2 linked regions of the Sus scrofa genome follow. The protein of the gene in region 2 interacts with the protein of the main gene of each other region in a pairwise test. Links are inferred from orthologs where the notes say so. Each region holds a gene or a part of one and is shown on either strand. Other genes may lie near its edges.

Region 1 (3,904 bases), about 12 Mb from region 2:
TGCCAGCCTAGGCCAAAGCCACAGCAACGTGGGATCCAAGCCATGTCTGTGACTGTACCACAGCTCATGGCAAAGCGCGATCGGATCCTTTACCCACCGAGCGAGGTAGGGAATGAACCCGCGTCCCCATGGCTCCTAGTCAGTTTCATAACCCACTGAGCCACAATGGGAATTCCAACATTCACCTTCTTCAGGCTTTGCCCAAAGCAGTAGAGGCCTCAGTTTTCGGGAATCCATACTTTAAGACATGATAGTAATATGGAGAAGTGCCGAGTTGTAGATAATGAAGTGGCAACATAGAACCTACAAGGGCGAAAGAGAATGGCTTTATGTTATTGACAGGCCACGCAGGCTGCCTCCACCAAAACTAGGGTAAAGGAGAGGCAGAATGAGTAGCCAGAAATTCAGGTGTTTCGGGAAAAATCACCTCTAACCTTTGCAGTTGCAAAAAGCAGGCACTCTATCTGGCTACTTGCTTTATGTTTAAACGTTATTTACAATTACGGGGTAGAGGCAGGGGCGGGGGTGGGGTAGCAGCTTACAGGACCTCGAACTCCAGGAAGTCCTCCAACACTCTTTAGCCTCAAAAGCAAGCTCTCGAAGAGTTAACCGGCCTTAAGTAGCTATCAACTTTGGGGGAATTTAGTAAAATGGCGTTTGCTGGAGTCTCACAAAGACCTTGCAAATTGGTCAGTGCGTTATTAACCTACTGTATGAGCGCCCTCGCCAGATCTCCTTGCGCCAGCACCCACAGGGGTTACACCATATTCTGAGGCATCCGCCTGCCAGTCCGCCCACCGCGGAGGGGGGAGACCTGAGAGGTACTTTTAAAAGCGGTTAAGTGAAGACTCAAACAAGCCCTGATGTCGAGGAAGAAATGCGACGCGCCGCGGGGCTCGGCCCTGACACTTGTTGAATTGCAGGGCTCTGCTGAAGCCTTGCCACCTAATCACGGTAAAGACGTCCCCAGAGGAGGGCCAAAATGGCGACGGACTCCTCTTGGCACAGCCCTGTTACCTCCCCGACAACTGGCGCCTCTAGTAACGCCCATTGGCCAAGCCGGAGGCGGTGCCTGGCTTCCCTCGCTGCCTCATTGGGCTGAGTGACTGAAGCAGCCGCCAATTCTCCCCTGCCTACTCCAGGTTCCCGCCCTCACAGTTTAAGCAGCATTCAATTGGCTTTTATTCACGTCAATTTGTGTCCTAGCGCGTCTCTTTTCAGTGTTAATCCAATCATAATTTTCCTGGCCGCCCGCCTGATTTCTGATTGGTTTTGATAAGCTTCATCCTATCCCATTCCTGTCTACTTTTTACCACCTCCCACCAGGACTTTGCCCAGGCTTGCCCAGGGTTTTGGTTGGTCGCTGTTCTGTCATTCCAATGAAAACCCTTCCTATCCCTACGTCTCAGCGAGCCCGCCTGGCAGTTGACTGGTTTCTCTCCAAGCCTATCATCTCTAAATCCCGCCTATCTTCACTTCCTGCACCTTTCATTGGCTTTTAAAACTGAGAGGGCGCCCTTTTTGGGCGGACACCACGCACGCAACTTTGTCTTACACGCCTTAGAGAGCAAACGAGTCTCGCCATTGGGTAATTTGCCTGTCTTTCTTTTGCAAGTCCCTCCTTTCACCCTCCCTTATTGGGCGGGGCAGCAGTGGAGGGGCGGGGCCTAGGCCGGGCTTGTGGCGCGCTGCTCCCTCCTCTTTACCCCCCCCTCCCTGTCCGGTCCGGGTTCGCTTGCCTCGTCAGCGTCCGCGTTTTTCCTGGCCCCCCCAACCCCCCCGGACAGGACCCCCTTGAGCTCGTCCCTCAGCTGCCACCATGAGCGGTAAGGATGAGTCCACTCCAAGCTTAGGGGTGGGAGGGGAGTGAGGGGGCGCGCGCGAGGGCCGACCGGGCGGTCCCCGCCGTGAGGGGGGCGGGCGGGAGGCGGCGGCGGCGGCCTTGGTCCCGCCCGGGGCGGAGGGAAGGGAGGGAGAAGGGGCAGTGGCGGGGCCTCGGAGGAGGAGGGGGATGGGCCGCCCGCCCCGGGGGAGGGGGCAGCGTGGCCTCGCCCGCCCCCTGCCCGCCCCAGCCACGGGGGACGGGCCTTACCCCCCACTACTCGGCCGCCCGCCTGAGGCTCCTCCTGCCGGGGGCTGGAGCCGCGGGGGCGGCCCGAGCAGTGCAGGCCCCGCCCGGGCCAACCGCCTCCCTGGTCCGCCCTCTGGTCGCCGCCGGCCCCAAGGCCCTCCTCCCCCCACCCCCCGAAGGTTACCCCTCCCCCCCGTAGATTACCCCTCCCCCTACCGTCCCGCCCTTTCCACGCCCCTCACCCCGAAACCGCCCTTTCCTTCTAGGGCCCGCCCTCTGTCCGCCCCGAAACTCCTGATTTCTAACCCCTGGACCTCTTTAGCCCCTTTCTAGTATTCACAAATGTTCCCCCCTACAAAACTTTTTATCTCATCTTTTCTCCTTCCCCTTCCTTTCCTCTTGTGACTTTCTACACTTGAATTCTTCCCTTTCTCCATCTCCTTTGACCCTAATTTGAGCAAGCTTTCCATCCACCCACATGTTTTATGCCTTATCTATATTTCTCCTTTTTTTCCCCGCAGGATACTTTTAAACTCCTTCAACATGTCCACGGACCCTTACATTGTCTATACCAAAAGCACCTTTTCATTGTTTTCTGAGTTTAATTTTGTACGAGGGAGAACTGCGGCCCAGTTTTGGCACCAAGGGGCCCAGTTCAGGTCTTCCTAGCCCTACAGCTGTCTCTTCTTCCCCAATCCTTTTTTGTTTGTTTGTTTAAATACTGGGACTTTCACCTTCCTGTTAGTCATTTTTGTTTGGTCCTAGTCTTCCTTACCCTTCTTCATTTTATCTTTTTTCTTTCCCCAACTTTAAGTTATCTTTTAATTCTTTTTAGACCAAGATCACTCCATGGATGAAATGACAGCTGTGGTGAAGATTGAAAAAGGAGTTGGTGGCAATAATGGGGGCAGTGGTAATGGTGGTGCCTTTTCTCAGGCTCGAAGCAGCAGCACAGGCAGTAGCAGCAGCGGTGGAGGAGGAGGAGGGCAGGTAGGTGATCATCTGGACAGAGTGGGCATCGTGTTGAGAGGATGTAGATATTCTTAGATGATTGTCTTTTCACAAAAAAATTTTTAGGAAAGGGCTAATTTACAGATAGGGAAGTAAGTACAGAGACAAGTGACTTGGAGATCCCCAAAGATGAGAATTTCAAATTTCAGCAGTGTAGATAGGTTGGCTTTTTGTTTGCTTGGGGGGGGCACTGTTTTGCTGTTTATTTATTTATTTTGGGTTTTTTTTACTGTTTATTTTTTTCTACTGCCCCCAGGGCTGGCAGCTGGTGTCACTAAACTAATCTCTTTCCTCTCCCTTATTTTTGGCCAGGAGTCCCAGCCATCCCCTTTGGCTCTGCTGGCAGCAACCTGCAGCAGAATTGAGTCACCCAATGAAAACAGTAACAACTCCCAGGGCCCAGGCCAGTCCGGGAGCACAGGTGAGCTTGACCTCACAGCCACACAGCTCTCCCAGAGTGCCAATGGCTGGCAGATCATCTCTTCCTCCTCTGGGGCTACCCCTACCTCGAAGGAACAAAGTGGCAGCAGTACCAATGGCAACAATGGTGGTGAGTCTTCCAAGAATCGCACTGTCTCTGGTGGGCAGTATGTCGTGGCTGCCACATCCAACCTGCAGAACCAGCAAGTCCTAACAGGACTGCCTGGAGTGATGCCTAATATTCAGTATCAAGTAATCCCACAGTTCCAGACGGTTGATGGGCAACAGCTGCAGTTTGCTGCCACTGGGGCCCAAGTACAGCAGGATGGTTCAGGTCAGATACAGATCATACCAGGTGCAAACCAACAGATCATCACAAATCGAGGAAGTGGAGGCAACATC
Region 2 (3,804 bases):
ATGAGCGATGTGAACCATCCCAGCAGGAATGCTGAACCCGCTGCAGCCTCCTGATCAGAGGCCTGGGACAGGGCTTGTTCCTCCCCCAGGGGCCCCGACAGGAGAGAGACGCAGGCAAGATCTGCAGACGGGGCACCTCCGCTGGCCCGTCTCTGTCTCCCGTTCACCCTGGGGCCTGGCACCACCCCACTTCCAAGCGGGAGCTCCCTCAGCCACCAGGCCTCCCATCCCCTTCCCGTGACCCCGTGCCCTGCTGCCCTCTGCCCTCATCCTATCACAGGGCCCCTCAGGAACCTCCCGTCCTGAACTCTCTCTGACTTTGCTCCCCCTACACCAAGCCTGACTGCTCCAACTGTCCCCTCTCGGGCAGCTTCTGCCCAACTCCCTGTCCCCTGCCTGTCCTTCCCATGCAGGTCTCCTTCTCGAGGGACCCCCTTTCACCACAAGCTCCCCTGGTTTTCATCCCACCTGCAGGCCACAGACCCGCTCCTTTTCTTGGATGGCGGATTCGGCACCCCCCCGCCCCCCCGCCCCCCAGTGTCTCGCAGGCAAGTGCCCCAAGCAGAACTCCTCACCTGCTTCCTGTTTTCCTCGCCTTTGTGGTGGCAACACCATTCACCCAAACTCTCTCGAGAAACCAGGAAACCGTCTCAGCATTAGCTTCTACGAGGCCTCCCCAAAGCTGGTCTTAACCCTCTCCGTCCGAGGGAAACTTCACAGCTCCAGGGGCACCGATCTGAAGCCGCCATGCCCTTCCCCGTGCGGCTCCCATCGCCCTCCCCTTGCACAGCCCACTTGGGGACCATTCTTCCCAAGAGCCACCCAGGTGGGGCTCCTCCTTGGGAACATCCTTCTGCGTGGAAGGCACACGCGCCTGTGCAGAGCTGGTGAACTCTGCACTCCTTCTTCCATACACATCAAGACTTTCCAGAAAGCCTTTCCTGAAAGCCGCCCCAACAAGTACCCTTTCCCTCCCGACTGCAACCCAAACCTTCTGCTGCCTCTACCACAATGAACTGGCATTCACTTGCTGACCTGTCTGCTTCTCTACCGTAGCAGGAGTATGTCGAGGGAATAAATGATCATATTTCATTGAATCTAAGATGGCATCAATTTTAAGTTTCACCATTAATTTAAGTACCACCAAGGGAAAAACACTGCCAACTCCACCGTGACATTCTATGCGTAGAGGACACAGCCAAGTGTAGACATTGTTACTGGGAAAAAACGTGCCTCTTAAACTGACGAACTACAATCTTTGCAGCCACGGCTGTGGGTGGAAGGTCTGTCTAATCATCTTAAATGAACAGTGTAAAGGCGACTTCATTCAACTGGGGCAGAAAACTAGCAAACCAAGCCAGGTGGGGAGATGGCAGGTGGCACCTCGAGGCAGGCTGGGCAAGGCTGGCCACCCTCACCTGTGATGTGCAGCTGGTGCAGCCTGTGATAGGCCAGGGCTGCATCCCGGGCGCTGCTCTTGGCTTCATCCTCAAAGCCTGCCGAGGTGGCTGGGGTGGCCCGCCGGTGCTGGAAGACCTTCTTGAGCAGCCAGCGTACCAGGCGCAGCTTCTGCAGGCTGTAGCGAATCACGTTCCAGGAGAGGCTGCAGGCCAGGTCCAGGCGGGAGGTGGGCAGTGCCCGGCCCAGCACCGACAGGCAGGTTTGCAGGTTTGCAGCGGCAGCTGCAAAATCCCCCTAGCAAACAGCAAGAAGGTGCAACGTTCGCTGGCCTCGAGGCGGCCTTTTCATTCTGCTTGTTAGAAATACAAATTCCTGATCTGCCCCCGACCTGCCTGAGTCACCCCGGTCCAGGGCCTTCTCACCCTCAGTGCCCTCTCAGCATGTCCAGAGGGAGCCACCACTGCTTCCAGCCTCCCCCATCTCTGAGTCACTGTCACAGCCACTTTCCTTCCATTTTACATCTCAAGTCTTTCTTGAATTCATGAATTCCAGGTCCTGGCCACCTGCCACCCGATCTCTTCTAGGAGCCCCCCCCCTCGCTCTGTGCACTGTATCTCCCCATCCCTTCACACAGCACCAGAAGGCATCTGTCAAACACAGGCCTGCACCTGCCTCGAGGAGGTACATCTGGGGACGCCTTTCTTGGGGAATCACCCTGCTCTAAGGGGTAGACCCCCAACAACCACATCTACATTTTGCAGCCACAGCCCCGGACACGGCCCACAGTTCCGGGGCTGTGGAACAGACGGGCTGGCTGGTCAGATTCTCTTGTGGGTAATGCAGCTTGCGGCAGGAGAGCAAGCCCGTGGCTGCTGCTGCTGAGGGCTGTCCTGGTTCTTGTTCCTCCAGAGACATGGATGTTTAAGTCTTCCTCCAGTGCTGTGAATTGCCCCAAATCCTTCCCCAAAACTCCTTTGTTGATTTCAGAAGAACACTTTCAGCTAATTTTCCTGCTCAAAAACTTTCTTGATTCTCCAGAGAACTGGAGAAAAAGCCCCAAATCAGTTACTGAACAAACACCTCATTGACTCGGGCCCTGGCTCCACTATAAGCTTAGCCTCCCCCACCCCCAACACATCCTACACACCGGTTGTACCGTCTACTCGCCAGTCCCCAAGCCCTCCTCGCCACCGGGAAGGTCCTTTCTGCCCGTGACGGCTCGGCCCAAGCCCCAGATTCCTTCAGCCAACGCTCATCTCTTGTGCCCAAGCTCCCACCACACTTCGTGGGCTCCCTGTCATACCAGACTGGAGATCACCTCCCGTCCAGGGATGGCTTCCCCCGGCGCCCTGGCCTCCACTGCCCTGACTGCTGGGGCGGGGTCCCTTCCCCCCCTGGGTCCCCTGGAGTACTTTTATGCACTGGGGTACAGGACACATGCTGCTGAGTTAAGGACCGAGCCCGGGGGAGGCTGGGGAAAGGGGGCCGCAGAACTCACCCGGGCGAGGTCCAGGTCTGCCTGCTTCCGGTGCCTCCAGAAGGTGACTGAGGAGCGCGAATGTGGCCGGATCACTGGCTCCCCGTGGACCAGCAGCTTCACAAAGACGCTCAGGACGATCACACCATTTACCAGCCACAAGAGCAGCGTGGGCACCATCCAGTCAAACCAGCCCCCAGAACCTAAGGAGGAGCATCCCCGCTGAGCCCTGAGGAAGGGCCCCCTGAAGCGGCCCTGGGAGCCTGCAGGGCACGTGACCAACCCCGGCAGCATGAGAGCAAAGAGACTCCTACCTCATTTCCAGAAAAAGGGCAGATGTCAAGACTGCTACATTTACCAACAGTGTCTAAGTGCTTAGGGCACCTTAATCCACACCACAGGCAAATGTGGGACAGCTCTAGAACCTAAGTGGGAACCCAGCAGCCCTCGTCACCATGGAGAAGAGCTTCACGAAGGTTAAACAAGGTGGGCTTAGGCCACTGGCATAACGACTCCGGCAGTAAGAGCACATCCTCCCTCAAAAGGCCCACCCCTGGCCCCCACAACTGTGGTAGTGCGGGGCCCTGATTTCCTCTGCTCTTTCTGACTGACCTTGGGTTTGCCTTTTTTTTTTTTTTTTTTTTTTTTTTTTTGACATTTTAGGGCCACACCTACGGCATATGGTGGGTCCCAGGCTAGGGGTCTAGTCAAAGCTACAGCTGCCGGCCTACACCACAGCAACGCAGGATCCAAGCCGTGTCTGCGACCTACACCACAGCTCACGGCAATGCTGGATCCTTAACGCACTGAGCGAGGCCAGGGATGGAACCCGCAATGTCATGGTTCCTAGTGGGATTCGTTTCCACTGCGCCACGATGGGAACTCCTGCCCTATTACTTTCAAAATGCTACTTCTGCCGGCCCTTC

What was found.
Region 1: the proteins of SREBF2 (region 2) and SP1 interact in binary tests that used the Homo sapiens proteins (3 or more experiments, as listed by UniProt). The link is inferred for Sus scrofa from reciprocal best matches to the Homo sapiens genes SREBF2 and SP1.

What each region holds. Positions count from the first base shown.
Region 1 is NC_010447.5:18,587,122-18,591,025, forward strand, and holds the start of SP1 (transcription factor Sp1), read left to right. Parts: upstream 1-1,641; 5' UTR 1,642-1,819; coding exon 1,820-1,826; intron 1,827-2,328; exon of another isoform or gene 2,329-2,730; intron 2,731-2,906; coding exon 2,907-3,061; intron 3,062-3,394; coding exon 3,395-3,904. UniProt on the Homo sapiens protein: Transcription factor that can activate or repress transcription in response to physiological and pathological stimuli.
Region 2 is NC_010447.5:6,743,105-6,746,908, forward strand, and holds part of SREBF2 (sterol regulatory element-binding protein 2), read right to left. Parts: intron 3,082-3,804; coding exon 2,900-3,081; intron 1,696-2,899; coding exon 1,419-1,695; intron 1-1,418.